Drosophila melanogaster: one gene and its partners. Changing the gene in region 2 together with the main gene of any one other region gives a genetic interaction. Each region holds a gene or a part of one and is shown on either strand. Other genes may lie near its edges. The genes, in order: Ulp1, velo and pira.

What was found.
Region 1: of velo (region 2) and Ulp1, changing one suppresses a phenotype caused by changing the other (phenotypic suppression), as found in Drosophila melanogaster (one study listed by BioGRID).
Region 3: of velo (region 2) and pira, changing one suppresses a phenotype caused by changing the other (phenotypic suppression), as found in Drosophila melanogaster (one study listed by BioGRID).

Annotation. Positions count from the first base shown.
Region 1 is NC_004354.4:19,202,121-19,209,915, forward strand, and holds the start of Ulp1 (Ulp1), read right to left. Parts: upstream 6,068-7,795; 5' UTR 5,914-6,067; intron 5,673-5,913; 5' UTR 5,640-5,672; coding exon 2,953-5,639; intron 2,817-2,952; coding exon 1,944-2,816; intron 1,872-1,943; coding exon 1,707-1,871; intron 1,648-1,706; coding exon 1,446-1,647; intron 1,367-1,445; coding exon 752-1,366; 3' UTR 1-751. Other genes in the region: CG14195 (uncharacterized protein), read right to left, coding at 6,701-7,008, 7,078-7,426, 7,499-7,795.
Region 2 is NT_037436.4:6,749,626-6,754,564, forward strand, and holds the start of velo (veloren), read right to left. Parts: upstream 3,128-4,939; 5' UTR 2,520-3,127; intron 1,819-2,519; 5' UTR 1,809-1,818; coding exon 1,728-1,808; intron 1,672-1,727; coding exon 934-1,671; intron 860-933; coding exon 1-859. Other genes in the region: SBDS ribosome maturation factor, read left to right, coding at 3,482-3,612, 3,693-4,320; Ist1, read right to left, coding at 4,650-4,868.
Region 3 is NC_004354.4:12,760,015-12,765,545, forward strand, and holds pira (pirate), read right to left. Parts: upstream 3,598-5,531; 5' UTR 3,330-3,597; coding exon 1,284-3,329; 3' UTR 628-1,283; downstream 1-627. Other genes in the region: PAICS bifunctional enzyme, read right to left, coding at 335-359.

The DNA of each region.
Region 1 (7,795 bases), on a different chromosome or scaffold from region 2:
ATATATTTCTGTTTAGTTCGCTCTGCAAAAATAAATTATATTACATTATGTACCTTAGGTTATGAAAGGTGTACTACTTCCTAAGGGTTAGAGAAAATCTTTACAAAAACAAAACTAATACCATTAACCCACATTTACCTATATTTGTATAATAAGTATTTGCTTGAATAAGCTACATTTTCAAAAATACTAAATTAAGATTGATTCCTTATTAATATTATCTAATTTATAGGAATATAGCGACATTTTCTTTAAAAAAAAAAAAACCGATAAATTCAAAAATAAACTGGAGTATTAGTATGATTTTCAATTATCAGCGGCTCTGATCTTTTCAACTTAACGATATGAAACAGAAAAGACAATGTAAGAAAAAAATATGAAATCCAGTAATTCCTAGTTTAGAGTTAGGATTAGAGCAGTACATTACATTACATTAGTACATATTCATAGCTTGCTGTATTCTAAATATTAATTATAAACTTGAAGATATTCGGCGATTAATACATCCTTATTCGCATCGCTTTTACTTGGTGACATTTTATTGAAGAAATAGATTCTCTTTTACAATCAGATATGAGAACAAGTTAATGCACCAGCAGGGGTCTCAGCCATCTCGATTCTATCGAATAAACGAGTTCGTTCGATGGCTAAGTACTTGTCGCGAATTCATGCTTGGAGTGTTTACGTAAGATTTGTAAAAATAAGTAAAGAACTGAATTCTCCATTTTTGCGTAGTTTTGTGCTTGAACCCCTACTGCCACAACTTTCCGTCGGCGATTTCCAGGGCCATCTTCGTGCGGAAGTACAACATTTCCGCCTGGGAGAAGGTAATCGGAACATCACGCGTTATATACTCGGCGAACATGCAGCTGAAGACACCGCAATCGCTGCTATTCCCTTGACGTGGTATATTCTGCGCGTTCTCGACAACGAAACCGGTCATATCAAACGGCTGTTTGCGCTTGTCTAGTGACTCTTCGTGCAGATATTTAACTAGAGCATCAAGCGCCGGTTGGTTTGGTCTTCCCATTGAGTCGTAATAGAAGATTGTCTTGTTACGCAAGTGTATGATGGCCATGCACCAGTGGACGTTGCCGCAGTGCACTGGCACCGGTATTATGTCCTTGCTGAACAAGTCCACTTTGCGAGTCCAGCGCCTAACGCCTGCATACCCAGCTTGCAGGAGACGGGGCATGAAGAATGTGTTCATGGCGTAAGTGGCGGGAAGTTCGCCAGCTCGCTTCTCCGAGCGTTCCGTCAGCATGGACATGTAAAAGTTGATGATCGCGTCGTTAAGCCATTCGCCATCAACAAACGTGAATATGTCGTCGGTAGTTATTTGTAGGTTATATTTGAAAATTAAGTTCTGAAATAAGATTTTAAAGCGCAAGCATATAAACGTTTTAAATGGGTACACATATAAATAAATAAATATATTCGTTTACCGTCGTAACCTCAATAGTTGTCATTTCTTGAAAGCGAGCGTGGTCCTCCTTTGTTAGCGGAATGAGCTTGGTCTCTTTCTTCTCTTCCGGCTGTTCCAGGGGCCCGATTTCAAAAAAGGGCCGGTGGGGAGCACCAGACCGGAACATGACTTCCCGCAGCTTTTTTTCATAGGCAAGGCGTTCATCTTTGCTTTCATTAGCCCTAAAATTGGAAAAAAGCCTCTTGGTACTGGGCCTAATTATAGCGTTACAAATACTTACTGCTGTTCAGCTATTCCAAGAAGATGCATGGATTCAAGTTGCCGGCGATTCGCTCTTGCTTTGAAATTTTCCGCAAAGTCATTCCTTAGAAAGATACAGTTGGCAAAGCGACGGTGCAAGAAGTCTGGTTTCTTGATTCTGGTAGTTGTAGGTTGAGGTGCGTCACTAATTGGTGATAAAATCAGGATTTTTGATTATTGCAAATTATTTACGTTTGGATATAAAGCATTTATTTACTTTTCCTTGGTTTCGTTGGCTTCGTTGGCTTCGTTGGCCTCGTTGGCTTCGTTGGCTTCCTTGACCTCCGGGCTATCTTTAACCAACATTGGCTCAGTGTCAGAAGATGAGCAAGTTGAACAAGTGCTGCAGGAGGAAGATGCGCTGCTGGAAATAGTGGACGCATGGCTGGCAGAGCTATTGCTAGCGTTTCGCTTTGGCTGCTGTGGTGCCGGAGACCTGTTCTCCTCATTCTCCTGGCGGTTGATCAATTTGGCGTACTCCGTTAGCTCAGGGTTCGCACGGCCATGTGGCGACGGGAACGAATCTGTTATATTCGATTGGTTGTCTTGCAGTGAGCAGCTGCTACTGGTTGCCGACTGGGCTTTAGCCCGCTGAAACGTTGGCGGGGTACCCGGCTTGAGGTAGCGACTGCCCACGTAATTTGTTTGGGTACGGATAAGTTCGTTATACTGCTCTTGATCCTTGCAGTTCATCTCGTGGGACAGAATGCTTCTGTGCAGCCGAGACGGTTCTCTGCGCACCGTATGGCTGGAGTGCCCATTTACGCGCGACTCGGAGATGCCATTATGGCCTAGACGCACCGCATCCGAGTAAGTCATGGGCCTGGATGATGGGCCCGCGTTAGCAAGTCTCTGTGACGACTCCTCATCGTCAAATGGCGTAGGTACGTGGGGGGCATCATTGCGCACTCGGTGCTGCGTGTATACCGGCGGATTAAATATTGAGAGCCGCTTTGAGCTCTGGGGCTGATCCCGCTTGGCCATCGAATTGTTGGGAATCAGGTCCTCGGCCGTCTCATTCGTTATCAAGCGGGGAAAGCTGTTGTCCACACGCCGGTACTTGATCAGACGAGGGTTCTCTTCTTGGTTGCTGAAAGTAGAGAAAAAACATTAATTGAAATTTTTACATGGGAGTAGCAATGAATGACATAAAATTGTTGCGCAGGCTTACCTAGTTGGATTTAGGTAAACAAAATTAAAAATAACATAAAATTCTTAATGCTTACCGTCTTTTCTGGGATAAAAAACTATTTTCCGGCTGGCGGCCGGCACCAAAACCTTTTCCGTTTTGAGCCTGGAATCCCGTTCCGGTATCCGTGGAGTCCGTTTCGCTTTCTCTGGAAGAATACCAACCGGATAGCATACCACGGATCTTTTTTAATATTTCTAAGCCCATCGAAATGTCTTCTTGGAGGTCTCTTTTCGGCGTGGGGCGTGGAGGTATTTCCTTAGTTTGCTCGAGAATCTCTCTCAGAATGGAGATGATCTCATCGGTGGCCCGGCCGTGTATAATTTCGGTTAGAACCTTATGGCACACATCGGCTAGCTTCTGGCGGAGAAGGAAAATTGACTTCCGGTGGGCTTCGGCTTCGGGTTGCTCTGGATCGGCCACCAGACTTTCAGAGATATCGCGAATTAGATTGAAGGTTTTGCGAATACAAATAGTGCTCGGATCGAGTGACTCTAGCTGCTCCCAATGTTCAGGTGAAACGGGGTCTGATATATCTTCTGAAGTAGATCCTGGTTGAGCTTCAGCGGGCGGTAATGGTGTCGAGACCTCATCAACAAAGTTCTGATGCTCGTGGCCTGTGTAACTAACCAGTTCTCTGTCCCGTTGGCCTTCGTTTACCTCGTATGCTGGTTGAACCTCAAAACTGTTTTCCTGGGATATTTCCAATTGAGGTACGTACGGAGTCGCAGTTTGTATAGTTTGTATATACTGGACCTTAGAATAAGCCTGGTTAGAGTGGATGGTGAATTCCTGCTGAATATACTGCCTCTCTTGGATATGATCTTTCTGACCTTTCTGCTGGTATTCAGAAAAGGGCTGCAACTTTCTCTTTTTGACCTTAGATTCGAACTGGTGGGTTTGCTTCTGGATCTGTGGTACACTCAGCTGATCTTGCTTCTGGAGCTGGAATTGTTGGTTCCCCTCAAAATTCAGGTAATGTTGATCTTCCTCTTGGTCTTCCGGTGTTAACTGCTCGTTTTCCTCCTGGATGTATGTTGCGAACGGGATGTCGGTTACATTGTGATAATTTTGTTTGTGAGTGTCAGTAACAATCTGCAGATCTCGCTTCTCGATTTCAGATGCGAACTGGAACCTTTCCTTTTGGAGCTCGGCTGTTTGTTGATCTTGCTCCTGATTATCAGATGCGAACTTTAGATCTTCATTATCATAATGGATCTCGATTACGAACTGAGGACTTTGTTGGTTTTTCTCCTGGATTTCAGGTATAGTGTGCAGATCATCAGATTCGAACTTTAGATCTTCATCATCGTCATCCTGGATCTCGATTACGGACTGAGGACTTTGTGCCTGTATATCAGTAACAGAAGGAGATGCAAGCTTCGTAACTTCGGTTACGATCTGCTGGTTTTGCTCCTGAATCTCAGCAGAAAACGAGAGATTTTCCCATTGGATTTCGGAGACAGCCGAGTAATCCTCCTGGGTCTCGGTTATAGTCTGATGATTTTGCTCTTCAGTTACAATCTGGTGATTTTGCCCTTGAATATCAGACGAGGTCTGGAAAACGTTCACTTGGATTTCGGGGGCAGTCTGGTGAACTTCCTCCTGGATCTCCGTTACAGACTGGTGATTTTGCTCCTGGATCTCTATTACAACCTGAGGACTTTGTACCTGTATATCAGTAGTGACAGGAGATGCAATCTGAAGACATTTCTCTGGGATCTCGGTTAATGTCTGTTGGTTCTGGTCCTGAATCTCAGAGGCACGCGTGAGATTTTTTTCTTGGACTGCAAGGACAATCTGGTTTTCATCCCGGATCTCAGTTAAAGTCTGATCCTGAGCCTCAGTTGCAATCGGATGATTTTGTTCCGAGATGCCATTTTCAAATTTCTGATCTTGCTCCTGGATATTATTGATTTGAATTTCGGGGACAACCTGGTGGAATTGCTCCTGGCTCTCAGTTATAGTCTGGGGATTGTGCTCCACGATATGTAATATAATCGGTTGATTATTCTCGGAGGCCTGATCGCATAGTTGGATTCCCGTTCCTATATGAATGTTTTGTTGATATAGGACTGGCTGATTGTTGTACTGCTGGACATAATATGCGACCTGGTTGTTTTGGTCAAGATCGATCAGGGCATCAACTGTAAGGGTGATGGTCGGTAGTGATGGTGGTTCTGGCAAGGGGGATGGAAATCGCAGTCTTATCGGCGAATCTATCAATGGACAATTTTGCAGCTCATGGAGTTGATGTATTGGCGATCCATCTGGAGAGTAACGCTGATTCGGAACTGGGACACACCGCGGCAGCAGCGGCGAGTAGTTCTGGCTAGGGAACGTAAATCGTGAATCCCCTGGCGGGGAACAATACGCATTAGTGTTCAATGTCTCGAATGCCTGTTCAGTTGGCAATAAGTGCGATGTCGGGAGACCTTGGTTCTCCGCCCATAGGAGTTGTGTTGCTGTGGCGTTGGCTGCTGCTTCTTCCGATCCTCTTGGCGCTACTGACGGATTACCCCAACTTGGAAACGTGCTGCGGCGTGAGTCCACATGAGACGCGACGCGCTCAATCACGTTCGGGTGAGCTGCTGGCGACGGCGAAAATCGCTGTCCTACTGCCGAACCGACTACTCGTGCTGCCGACACATTGCTCGCGATTTGGAGTGCGGATTCGTATGCGGAATTTGTGGACAAATCGGTGTCCTCGGGAGGCAGCGACATGCGTGTGTTCGCTACCGCTTTCGCTACTTTTAGCTGCAAATTGAAATTTAATCAGAAATTATTTTTCCACACGCATTCGCTTTCAAGAATCGCAAGAAGAAGAATAAGCAAAAAAGGAAAACGAGCCGGCAAAAAGGAAGCCCGATTTTGCGCATTTTTCGCTGTTTTTCGCCGTCTTTGCTTGGTGCCACTTCTGCGGCCGCCGGAAAATGCCGACGCTGCTATTGCACCGCACTGAGTGCCACACCACAAGCGCCTTGCAACAAACACTTACCCCTTGGCCAGGTTTTAAACAATGTACACTTTTCACTGTGACTTGAGAAAATTTTCGCAACTTAGCTCGATGAAAATTGAGTAAAGAAAGAAAATTTCGGTTTTGGCGTACTGGTGCCTTAGTATGACCGTACAAGATATTGCTCTATAATACCAAACCAATCGATATCGGCCAACAGTGTTGGGTCTGGCTGCCGCATCATAGCAGGCAGCTTTCGTCACGCAGCGAATGTAATTACCTAGAAATATCTGAGGAAATAACGGCATTTAGTCTTACTGTAAAAATACGACAAATTCGGTGAAAAGGGAAATTTTTCGTCAATATTTTCCAATAATATTTCAATATTTTCAATATTTCTTACACAGCGAATTTTGTAAGAACATGCATTTTTTTTAGTGTGCGACAGATTTCTAAAAAATTGAACCAATCTCTAGAATGAACGCAACATTTTATACTTTTAAACTTATTTTAATCGGAAAAAAACTGTCCACATTTCCAAAGTACAGTAGTCAGCACAGCTTAATGGAAAAATAGCTAAAAGGCTATAGCTACTTCTGTAGCAGTTCTTTAGGGATATTTTAAAGGCCAGCATTCCATTCTTTTTTCAAATTGACGTAATAAGACTTTTAAGACTTATGTTAAAATGTATGTAGCTTGCTTATAGTTTATATATTTATTTATTAATATCACTGCACAAATACAACAACAACGTCAGCCACAGCAGCACACACACACACACACATACACGATGCCTTGTTGTGTGAGAGTGCGCGAATTCTTCAGTCCCTCAATCCTTGCTCTGGCAGCAGAAGAAGAGGAAGTTCCAGAGCAGCGTGGTAGTTCCGTAAAGGGCGCCGGCCAGTCCCACGGTGGCCTGGAAGGAGTACCGCTCCACCACCCAGTGGGCCAGCGCGCCCCAGAGGAGAACCAGCAGGCCGTTGGTGAAGTGCACCGGACGGCGGATGGCCGTCCAGTTGGCCCGCGTCATGCCCATCTGGAAGACCAGCTCCTGCAGAAAGGCGGTCACCACCTGGCCAAATCCCAGCAGCACGGCGGACACACTGAGCAGCAGCTTGGAGGTGGAGAAGCTGATGACTGGAAGCGAAACAAAAGATGGATCTATTGATGGCCCGGGGAAAGCTTGAAACGGGTATCATGACTCACAGATCAGCGCCAGGCACTTGCAGATGCTGCCCAGCGTGTGCCACTGGAGCTTCCGCTTATAGAGGCTCGTGCCGAAGCGCGGAGTCATCAGGGAGAAGCACATCCATGGGAAGGCCAGCAGCGAGAAGAGGAACGGGATCTCGGCGTTCTTCAGCGCATGGTGGCTGACCGCCAGTCCGGGTAGCACCGTCAGGCACATCACGTAGCTAAAGATGTCCGCCGAGAGGAGCAGCGTGGTGGCGTACAGCTGCGGCACCAGCAGCGCCTGCTGCAGCGGCATGGCGATCTTGTCCAGCAGATTCCACCACAGGTGCGTGGTTACCGCACGCGACATCCGCCGGATGCGGCGCTGAAAATGAGGAGCATACGGAAAGGTTTCACATCCGGTCACCATATTCCACAAAGCCTGCGCACTACTCACCAGGTTGGCATAATCGGGAGGTAGGGGTGAGGAGCTACCTGTACCAGTTCCCGTTCCTGTGCCCAAAGGATGCTGGGGCGTCAGTGGATAGAGACGTCCATTGGACAGGGACTTGTGCGACATCTGCGAGGCGGACATGGCATAATTGTCGATGGTCGCATTGCTCGACCGCATCATGGACACCGTCTCGTCCTCCTCGGGTATGATCTCCATAATCTCCACCCCGTTGGGATTCACATACGTCACATACGCCTCATCGGTGGCCAGCATGTAGTTGCTGTGCGTGTCCACCACCAC
Region 2 (4,939 bases):
GCATCATCAGCATTTGCTGGTGCTGCTGCGGCTGCTGTTGCGCCGCCTGCTGCTGCTGCTGCTGAGGATTTCCGTCGGTTACCATGTGTGTGCGGTAGATGTGGCGCGGCTGTTGCTGCATCTGCTGCTGCTGTTGTTGTTGCGGCTGGCCGAGATTCGTGCTGATGGTAATGTGCTTCATTTGGCCCTGAGTCACTAGCATGGTCTGTCCCTCGCCGCTGGCGCTAGTCTGCACCACCAACTGCGCTCGAGTGGGTCGTACGCCCGCAGGTCGCATATTCCTAACCAGTCCGCCGGGCACTGCACCTCCTCGCGGACGAACTTGCCGCACAATTGTTGTGGGCGTAAGTGTAGGCCTGGTGGTAATTAGTGTGCCCGGCCTGGCCAGCACAGCTCCACCTCGGGGCGATTTCCTAAACGAGGCGCGTACTAGTTGAGTGCCACCGGCAGCAGAGGTGGCCACTAGCTGCGGCTGCTGCTGAGCCACCAATTGCGGTTGCTGCTGCTGTGGAGCCTGCTGCTGTTGCTGCGGCTGCACCTTTTGCACCTGCAACTGCTGGTAGACAACATTTTGGGTCTGCTGTGGCACCACACGAGCCTGAACTAAATGGGCTGTTTGAGTCGTGGGCTGCAGTTGCATCTGCTGTTGTTGCTGGACTTGCTGATGCTGCTGCACTTGCTGCTGCTGTACGTGCTGCTGGATGACGTGTTGTTGCTGCTGCTGCTGTTGCGGTGAAGTGGCATAAACTACACGATTGTTGTACGGATGTATGGCCTGTCGCATAATCAGCTCCTGATGCTGTGGGCCCTGGATCAATACCGGTTGCTGCTGGACAATCACGTGCGTATTGTTGAGCATCTAGGATTTGGAAAATCGATATCAATATGTTTCAAGTGAAAGATAAATACAGGGCTATTTGGAACCTAACTTACCCCTAAGGGCCTTTGTTGCTGCTGTGTGGTGGTCATGCGGTAGACGATCTGCTGGTGCTGCTGCGGTTGCTGTTGGGGTGGCGACGTCTGCAGTTGCAACGTTTGTGCCTGCTGCGCTTGCTGATGCTGCTGCTGGGAACTCTGAAGTAATTGGGCTTGCCCTTGGGGAGACGATTGCACTTGGTAGGCGGGTGCGTGTTGTTGATACTGTTGCTGCTGCTGCTGCTGTTGCTGCAGCACTTGCTGCTGCTTCTTCTGCTGCTGCATATGCTGCACAATGGCATTTGGTTGCAGGACTTGCTCTGAAGTGTAGTAAATCTGCTGTGTATGCTGGATGGCGGGTTGCTGCGGCTGATGCTGCACATATTGCTGCTGCTGCTGCTGCTGTTGCTCCATGTGCAGTTGTTGCTGCTGCTGCTGGGGCTCCTGTTGCTGCTGCTGATAGTGAACCTGCTGCACTTGCTGCACCTGATGCTGCTGATGATGCATTACAACTTGTTGTTGCTGTTGTTGGTGCTGCTGCTGCGGTTGTTGTTGTTGCTGCTGCTGCTGTTGTTGTTGCTGCTGCTGCTGTTGGTGCTGTTGCTGCTGATGTGCAAGATCATCGCCACCGATTATGTGGTATGTGGGTGCCGCAGACTGCTGGGGCTGTTGATATTGCGCTGGGGCCGTCGTCTGGTAGACAACTTGCTGCTGGTCGTTGAACACCAGCTGCTGGTCATCCTGTAGGACCAGGGACTGAAAGAAACAAGAAATTAGCTTGCTATTCACCGAGGGCTTCGGATACTACTCACCCCAACCTCATCTTGGGGCACTTGCACTACTTGCAAATCAGAGTAGACTGGCTCCTCCAGGGGCACAATATACTGCTCCATTTCAAGGCAGCTGGAAGGGGTAGAAAATCAGTTAGAATTTTAGATATATACTATTTTTTCACTAATTCCCTAGGCCCAAAAAGTACTGTTAAATTTTAATTAATATGATCTTTTCTTCAATTACATTTTTTTGTTTTCTTTTTGGAATATTTTTTTAATTATATGCAATTTCTTATAAGTCGTATTATATATTTTAATTAAATTACATTACAACAACAATGCACCTAGATAAAGAAAACGTTAACTGGTTAAACTTTGCACTGTATGTAGCATAATTAAGATACTTAAACATTTTGTGTACTCTTTAAGGTTATATTTTTGCGTCTCAGTATGAGGACATCGTTAATTCCTTCACATTTATTTTAATATAACCTCGGTAAGGAATATAAGTGTTAAAGTATAAAATTAAATAAGAATGCAAACAAGTTTTGTCACTTTTGTGAGAATTTTTGCTCTTTTTTGCAGGCGTTGCATTTTTGAGACTTTTACAGAGCCCTCAAGAACAACACACACACAAAATCGCAGTAGAAAAATGTGATTTCTACCATTTTCCGAGCAGAAACTTGTACAATATGCGGTTGACCAATTGTATAAATTAATTCCTATGTAATTTTGCAATATATTTAACTTTTTTAAGGCACATTTATTATACAATTACAGGTCACTTTTTGAGCATAATTTTTTTTTTGTTGGCATTCCCAACCTACACACCTCCGTTAATCTTACGAGAATGGGAACTTTTTGGAGCCAATCGCTGTGCCCTCGGCTCGATCCAGTTGTTCTTTGATTAGATCATAATCGCGCTGTCTTTTTACAATAAACACACGTTAATTATTCGCGTTTTTGCTTGAAACCCGTGGCTTTCTTTCTTGCAATAAAAATGGCGTTCACCATTAAAGGCAGCATTTGATATTTATTTTATCTGGCAATGACGAAACGCGAGCGCCCCCTGGCGGGCCCATCAGCTGTTCATAAACATTTTGCAGCGTTGCTTTGGGCCGCTGATTTATCGATGTCTGCCTTGTGCCGTCCTCTTCGCCTAATGTTTAGAGGTCCCTCTGTTTGGCATGTAGCCAGTTTAAAGGGACCACTAAACGGTCGAGCCACTGGAGTTGTCTTAAAATCTTTAGTTTTTCGCACTGAACGCGCTGTTTCGGTGATTTCCATGATTTTGTTGCACATTATGCTGTTATTTAGCGAAAGGCGATTGATAACGATTTTTAGCGACCGTTGATATCGCGGTTTTGAGCACTATGTGTTTTGTTGTTTGCTGCGCGCTCTGGCGAATTGGGTGAGGAAGAAGAAGAAGAAGAAGAGTGGCGAAGGAACAACAACAACGTCGTTGTGATGGTAAAACGTCGATAAGTAGAAAAACTCGATAGCTCGGAAAATTGTGGGTAGCGGTGAAAAAAATTTCAACAAAAAAAATATACATAAATAAAATCCATCTAAATATATATATTATAAGTATGTTTTTAATAGAAAGCTGTTATGCAGTTTTGTATATTGTGAACAAAATTTTTTATCAAACTGTACATCAAAGGAAATTTCAATGATTTCACAACTACGGGATATATAAATGTTTGATTTTTTGCCATTCATCGTTTGGTTCGATCGAAAGTGTTTTGGTTTACTTGCACATCGCTAATTCCGCAGCTTGTATTTTAACAACAATGTCCAAAATATTCACGCCCACAAATCAAATACGCCTCACAAATGTCGCCATTGTGAGGCTAAAAAAAGGTGGCAAGCGATTTGAGATCGCCTGCTATAAAAATAAGGTTCTTTCGTGGAGGAGCAACAGGTAACAGCCGCTAAATGCAACACGTGCAGATTGTGAAATAGGCTTTACCTAAATCTAATTACTTTATTGTATATGCTTAGCGAAAAGGACATCGATGAGGTCCTGCAAACCCATACCGTGTTCACCAATGTCTCCAAAGGACAGGCGGCCAAAAAGGACGAGCTGCAAAAGGCCTTCAATAAAACAGACGAGACTGAGATTTGCAAGGAGATCCTCAGCAAAGGAGAACTGCAGGTGTCGGAAAAGGAGCGCCAAAGTTGTCTGGACACGCAACTAAATAGTATAGTTAATTCCGTGGCTGCGTTGTGTGTAAATCCAGAGACGCGTCGTCCATATCCCGCCTCCATCATCGAGAAATCCCTGAAGGATGCCCACTTCTCCGTTAAGATGAACAGGAACACCAAGCAGAACACACTGGAGGCCATCAAGATTCTCAAGGACCATATGCCCATCGAGAGGTCGCGCATGAAGCTGCGCGTTAGCTTTGCTGGAAAGGAGGGCGGTGGCAAGCTCAAGGAATCGGTGGTCAAGTTGGCCAACGCAGTGGAGCACGAGGAATGGGACGAGGCCACCTTGCACTTAACCTTGCTCATAGATCCTGGCCAATATCGTGTCATTGATGAGCTGGTAAGGAACGAAACGAAGGGTAAGGGACTGCTGGAGCTGCTCGAGCTGAAGGAAGTGGTGGAGAGCGAGGAACTCTTCTAGGCAATACAATCCCTTTAAAATTTTTTGTTTTTCTTTGTAATCTTGTTGATATTTATGTGAAACATAAAGCTGATAAGTACACAGAATTTAATCTGTTAGTATTTTAATCTTTAGGCTGTTTTTAGATGAATCAAGATTGCGAATATGAAAAGCAATAGGTCAACCATCTTTCAATTCAGATTATACATTTTTGAAGTCTGATTAACTACTTAATCGAAAAAACAAAATGATCAATAGTTCCTTACACATATACGTGATTATTAATGTAGAACAGGACAGAGATTATAACAAATATACTGTAGACTTAAAAGGTGATCTGCTGGCCAGCTTTACTTTCGCTTCTTAAGGTTCTCGAAGCGACGTGACAGGTCATCGAAATCAATCTCATCCTCGTCGTTCTTCTTCTCGGCACCTGCGCCCGGAATATCTGGCAGATCGTTGGGAACGTTGGGCAGCGAGGGGAAGTCCAATGCCGGAGGAGCACTTGGTAGCGTGGGATTACCCGGTGGCAGCTTGGATCGGGGTTGTGGTTTCGGTTTGTTGGCATTCTGCGAAGGGTAAAGTAAGTAAGCAAATTAATAAATGTTTTTATATTGCAAAACCTAAAGAAACCTCATTT
Region 3 (5,531 bases), on a different chromosome or scaffold from region 2:
TGGAAAGACAACTTGTTTACGAAATCCACAATTATCTTGATTTAAACAATGGAAAGCCAGCCTTCTTGTTTACAGCAGACAGCTCAATAAACAGCATTAAAATATTATCAGAACCAGGAAAATATTCCGTTGTTTTATTTTTTTGAGTAACCCGAATAACTGTTTAAATAAATCCAAGGCTGGCGGGAAAACATAAACAACTGTCTTGCTTTCCATCACATTAAGCTTGTCTTTTATTGATGAAAGATCGAATAAAAGATGGTAGCTTTGGTACTATTTACGTTCTAGGCACAACAATTGTTTATTTGGAAACCTTGGCGATGGATAAACTTACTGGATGCTGTTGTGGTGGTGGACATCTCGTTAATCGCACGTTGTTGGTCACTTCACTTTAAGAATCGAAATTGAAATCAATTGGCTGCTGGCTGTTTCACGTGTTGCGGGCTTTGCTTTATGCTCGATATTCGCTGGTGCCTTCCCTCTCGCTCTCGCTCTCTATCTCTCTCTCTGTCTTTTTCGCTCTCTCCGCTTGGCTCTATTATTACAATCCGCAAACTCCGATGTTCGTCTGCATCAAAGAATCGCTCCAAAGCAACTGAGCGTCTATAGAATCGCCGGCGCGACTTTATGGCTCGATTTTCTTATCGCCGAACCCCAACACCAATGCAAAGAGATCCATGTGTTTGCGCTCGCGTGTGTGTGCTTGCGTGTGGGTGTGTGTGTGGGCTTAGAGTCGAGTATAATGCTGATTGGTAATACCCTGCAGTTTCCCAAATGGCCGATGAACACCGCGCGGGGCAACTTATGTACTTATGTACATACATACATATGTACATTTTTTGGCAATCTATAAAGCTTTGCTTATGCGTGACAAATTTTATTGTCGCATTTTATTTACAAATTTTGTTTCTAAAATATTTTCTATTCATTTGGTGACTTTCTGAATTTTGAATTTTTCTTGATTTTTGTCCATTCTCCAACTCCTGACATCCACCTCGTCCTGCCTAACATGCTCATCCTGTGATCCTGATCTCTGTCTTTGTCTCTGTCTCTATCTCTCCAGTAGGTAGCCTCTTTATCGTCTTGTTGGCTGAACTGCTCTTTTTGGTGATTGTATGTGTGTATGAAACTTTTCCTTGAGGGAAAAAACGTATATTTCTGGTGAACCCATCTCCGCCGTGTCAATTTGCTCCTCCTAGTGTTCCAAAGCATTGCGTTGCGATCGTCTTCAGTTCAGTTGTTTTGTAGAAAATATATGTATTTTCACTTCTCTCACAAGTGGTTTATTTGAGTGTATTCCTTCTCCTCGGCGGTTTTCTGTCTTTTGAACAAACCAACGTAGTTTTATGCTCCTCTTTAGAATTCTCCTCCTCGCTATCCTCCTCATCCATCACCAGTTGGCCATTTAATGTCGGAAACTTAATGACCGGCAAAATTTTGCGCTGCTGATTGCTTTCATTCATAAGCTTCTTGATGAGATTAGCGATATCCTCACGCTTCTTGGTTACTGTGAGCAGGTCAAACCAATTGCTCAGCTCCTTAATGGGCAGTGTATAGTCGTTGATGGGTTTTGTGAAGAATTGCTCCACATATTGCAGCAGATAGAGGCCGCAATCTGTAAGATTCTGCTGTTGCGGCACCTCCACACTATGACCGGGCATATTATCCTTGTTAAAGACATGCGCCAGCGCATTCGGATACTTGGCCTTGTGCTCACAGGTGAGATAATCCCGCAATATGGCAATCGCTCGATGTCTTGAGGTGACTGCCAACGAATCGAAAATAAGTATCAACGGCTGTTTGATGGGAATATCATCACTGAGTGTCGTCTGCACATTATTATTGTTTACCACCGGGCTTCTAAGGTTTGGATAACATATAATGGCCAGTATCCAATGGGACTGCTCATTGAATGGTATTATAATGAAGTCCTTGTCGAATATATTGACGTTTCGTGTCCACTTCTCAACCCTTTCGTGACGCTTCTGGGCCGCCGTCTGCTTCGTATTTCTGGGATTCGTTCGTGTGGTCAATCTTTTGTGGAAAAACGTGCTAAAGATATGCGTCCTATCGCGCTGTTCCTCTGGTATGATGTTATTCTTTAGCCAGCGCAGATAAAAATCAATGATTATATCGTTCAGATACGATCCTTTACTGAGACACATAAAGTCCTTGATGGTGATGCTCAGGCCACCGGTACCAGTTGGCGGATATGTGAAAAGGGTTTGATTCTCATCGGGTGAAAGTCTTCTCTCGGTTTGGCCATCATCGGCGGCGGTGGTCTCCTCATCACCGCTGCTCACCAGCACCACGGCATCTTCATCAACGTCCCTGCTTAGTATCCAATTGCGATTTCGGCGCAGGCGACTACGCTCTGCGCGTTCTGCTGGTGTGGGTATAGCAGCGTCGCTAGTTGCTTTCACCGCTGGCGAGGATATGGATGCAACATTCGATTGCACCCGCGATTGAGATCCACCAGCTGTCTCTTCCGATTTCTTGCTAACAGCGGCATTGTTCCTCGACTGGATCCACTGGGAGATTGCGGGAGCATCTTCAGCTGGTTGCACGCCCCGAAGACCATTACTCGTCATTGTAGAATTGGAGGTTATAGCCGTGGAGTTGTGACTTCCCTGTTTATTGCCAGATGAACTAGGGTTGTCATGAGAACTAGCAGCTTGAATTCCATTGTTATCCTTTGCAATATGGCACTTCTTCTGTTTCTTGGCCTTGGTATTAGTATTGGCGTCTTGATCCGCCGACAATATCACTTGGCCATCATTGTTTTCTCCCGGACTCCCGCAAGGACTTTTCTTGTGCTTCTTGCCTTTGGTTGCACTTGCAGCTGGCTGGCAACCATTGTTGGCCACCGCAGTCTCTGATGGTTTGACAACCGCAGGGGAGTGCTCTTCACCGGCCATCGCATTGGGTGGAGCGGCATCAGCCGATGATGCCTTTGACTGATGCACCTTCCTATAGAACTCCTCCGCATGGGCAACCGTCTCGGCAATGTTATCACTGATGGGGAAGCCCACAGAGACAACCAAATGGATAATACCGCCGGCATTCTCAATGCAATCAATCGTGGTGCTCTCATCGATCTGAAGGTCCATTTGGAAAAACAGATCCTGCACCCTACACGCAAGATTCGGCAGCTTGAAGGTGACGATGTGCTGCTTTCCACTGCTGTAGATAATCAACATCCTGGCACTTCCTTTGTCCGGATCCGTGTCGGCTCGATTGATCAGCAATTGACGTGAGACTAATATAAAGTCATTATGGGCAATTCGACGTACCGCTTGGTCCTTCGAAACAGTTTCTTTGCGATCCATTTTGGAGCCGGATTCAATAGTATAACATATGTACGTTATATGGGCTGATCTGACTGAACTGAAGTTTCTCGTTTCGATTGCAAATTCTCGGGCTGCTTGATGTGCAAAGTTAACTGGATGGTTGAAGAGTCACCTAACACGGTGACTTTGATCACTATATTCCTTTCATTTTCCAATCTGTGTGTTTTATGCGATATTTGATATCTGTCTATTTTTATTGTTGGGGTAAACGGCGTCCCAAGTGCTGTATCCAAAAATCATCTGTGCGAGTTGCTATCGCCATCGGAGTTTTGCTGCTCATATCGATACATATGTATATGTTTCCAATTGGTATGGATTTTGTGGGGTGTTTTTAAAAATATGTATCGATAGTCCGCTTTGAAATTTGAATGTTGCGAATATTGAAATTAAATAATATTTGAACTGACGAAATATAGGCATTTAAGCGAATCTTAGCTAAGCTAAGTTCTTTGCTTTTCATTTACAAGTATTAGTATTCTTACATGTGGTATTTACAAAGTTATAAGTTCAGCCGTTTGTTGCAAGTTCTTTGTATGGGAATTTTTAAAAACCAAAAATTTATTCTCGTTTTAATTTCAACATTTTGCAAATACAAGTACAGACATTAATCAAATTATAGTTGTGCGTCCGTCATCGGGTCCACCTGTCCGATTTTTAGTCGTCAGCATTGAGCTCCTCTCACCACATGGATCGCTTGGCGGCGATAAGAAAATCAAATGTAAACAAAAATATTATTGTTTTTTTGTTTTTTGCCAAGAGCGTATTTATAAAAAAAAAAAAAAAACAACTGACAGACACACACACGTTTTCCTTTCCGCGGGCCAAAGGGCTCCATTTCGCAATTTGCATCGGTTGCCAAGTGCGGAAAAACGCATCTAAATCACAACGTTGTTAGCTGTCAGAAAGTTTGCCAAGTCGAATTCCTTAAATGTGAAGCAACTGGAAACTGGCTTTTGTTTTACATTTACAAATTTACTATTACTACTACTGTATATACTTTACTAAATAGTGTCATATCTGTGCTGGCTGCAGTAATATATTTTGCAAAATATATTTTTATTCGAATTGTTTTTTCTTATGCATATATTAATTATATATATTATTTAAAATATATTTAACATTTAAGCACGTGGAAAATGCATATGTAAATAATACAACAAGCCTGCTCTATTTTTAAATATCCAGCTGAGTACATCATATTTTTCGGGAAAAACTTATGCTATGTTTTCCGTTAGTTCTTTATTAAATTGAATTTTTCGTTGTAGTCATATAAACTTTTTTGTTTGCTCTAACCAAACCGTTCGCAGAGAAGATGTCATATTTAACTAACAGCTTTATTTTTTTTTTAAATACGCGGGACTTTAATATTTAATTCTCAATTAATTCTCGAAACGATGTTTTTAGTTCATGCTTTTTAGTTCCAAAGCTGAGACTCAAACCCAATGCCAGCTCCATGCAGCGCGGACGCACACACCGCTCGCTATCGATACCCAACAATTAGCCGTCTATCGATATTTGCAGACTATAATATTTTTATTTACACTTGTTGAAAAAGAAAGAACATTTATTTATTATTAAATTTAATTTTTTTGTAATTTAATATAAAACAAATATTAATATAATAAAATTAAAAAAAATAAGATATATTTTCAGATGCATAATCTTAAACTGGTATTGATAAACATAAGTTTGTCGGAAATCAATTGATCGGAAATTTTTTGGCCTCCACTACAAATTGAAAATGCATATACAATTTTAAGATTGCATGCTAATAACTGAAATTGAATAAATTTAAATTTGAAGAAATTCGTTTTCTGAGTCTTCGAATAGCGATGAAAAAAAAAAATAGACATCGATGTTTCGGAAAATCGATAAAAACATCGATGCATCGATGTTAGCTTCGATATTTCGGTACCGCTAGTTGCCACGAAAGTCGCTCGAACGCCGGTAACGGAAATTCTCAGCAAACGCAGCGCAACGTCGTTTTCGCGTCGCCGTCGACGTCGGCGTTGTGTCGTCGCCGCAGCAGCAGAAAATAAAAATAAAAGAGAAGAAAAAGAATCGAAATAACTGCATACGAAATAGATCGAAATAAAAAGTAGTCGCTTTTATTAAAATCCACAACAAACAAAAGCCGAAACGAAGAAAGTGAGCATTCATTTGTTGTTGGTGTGTCAAGCG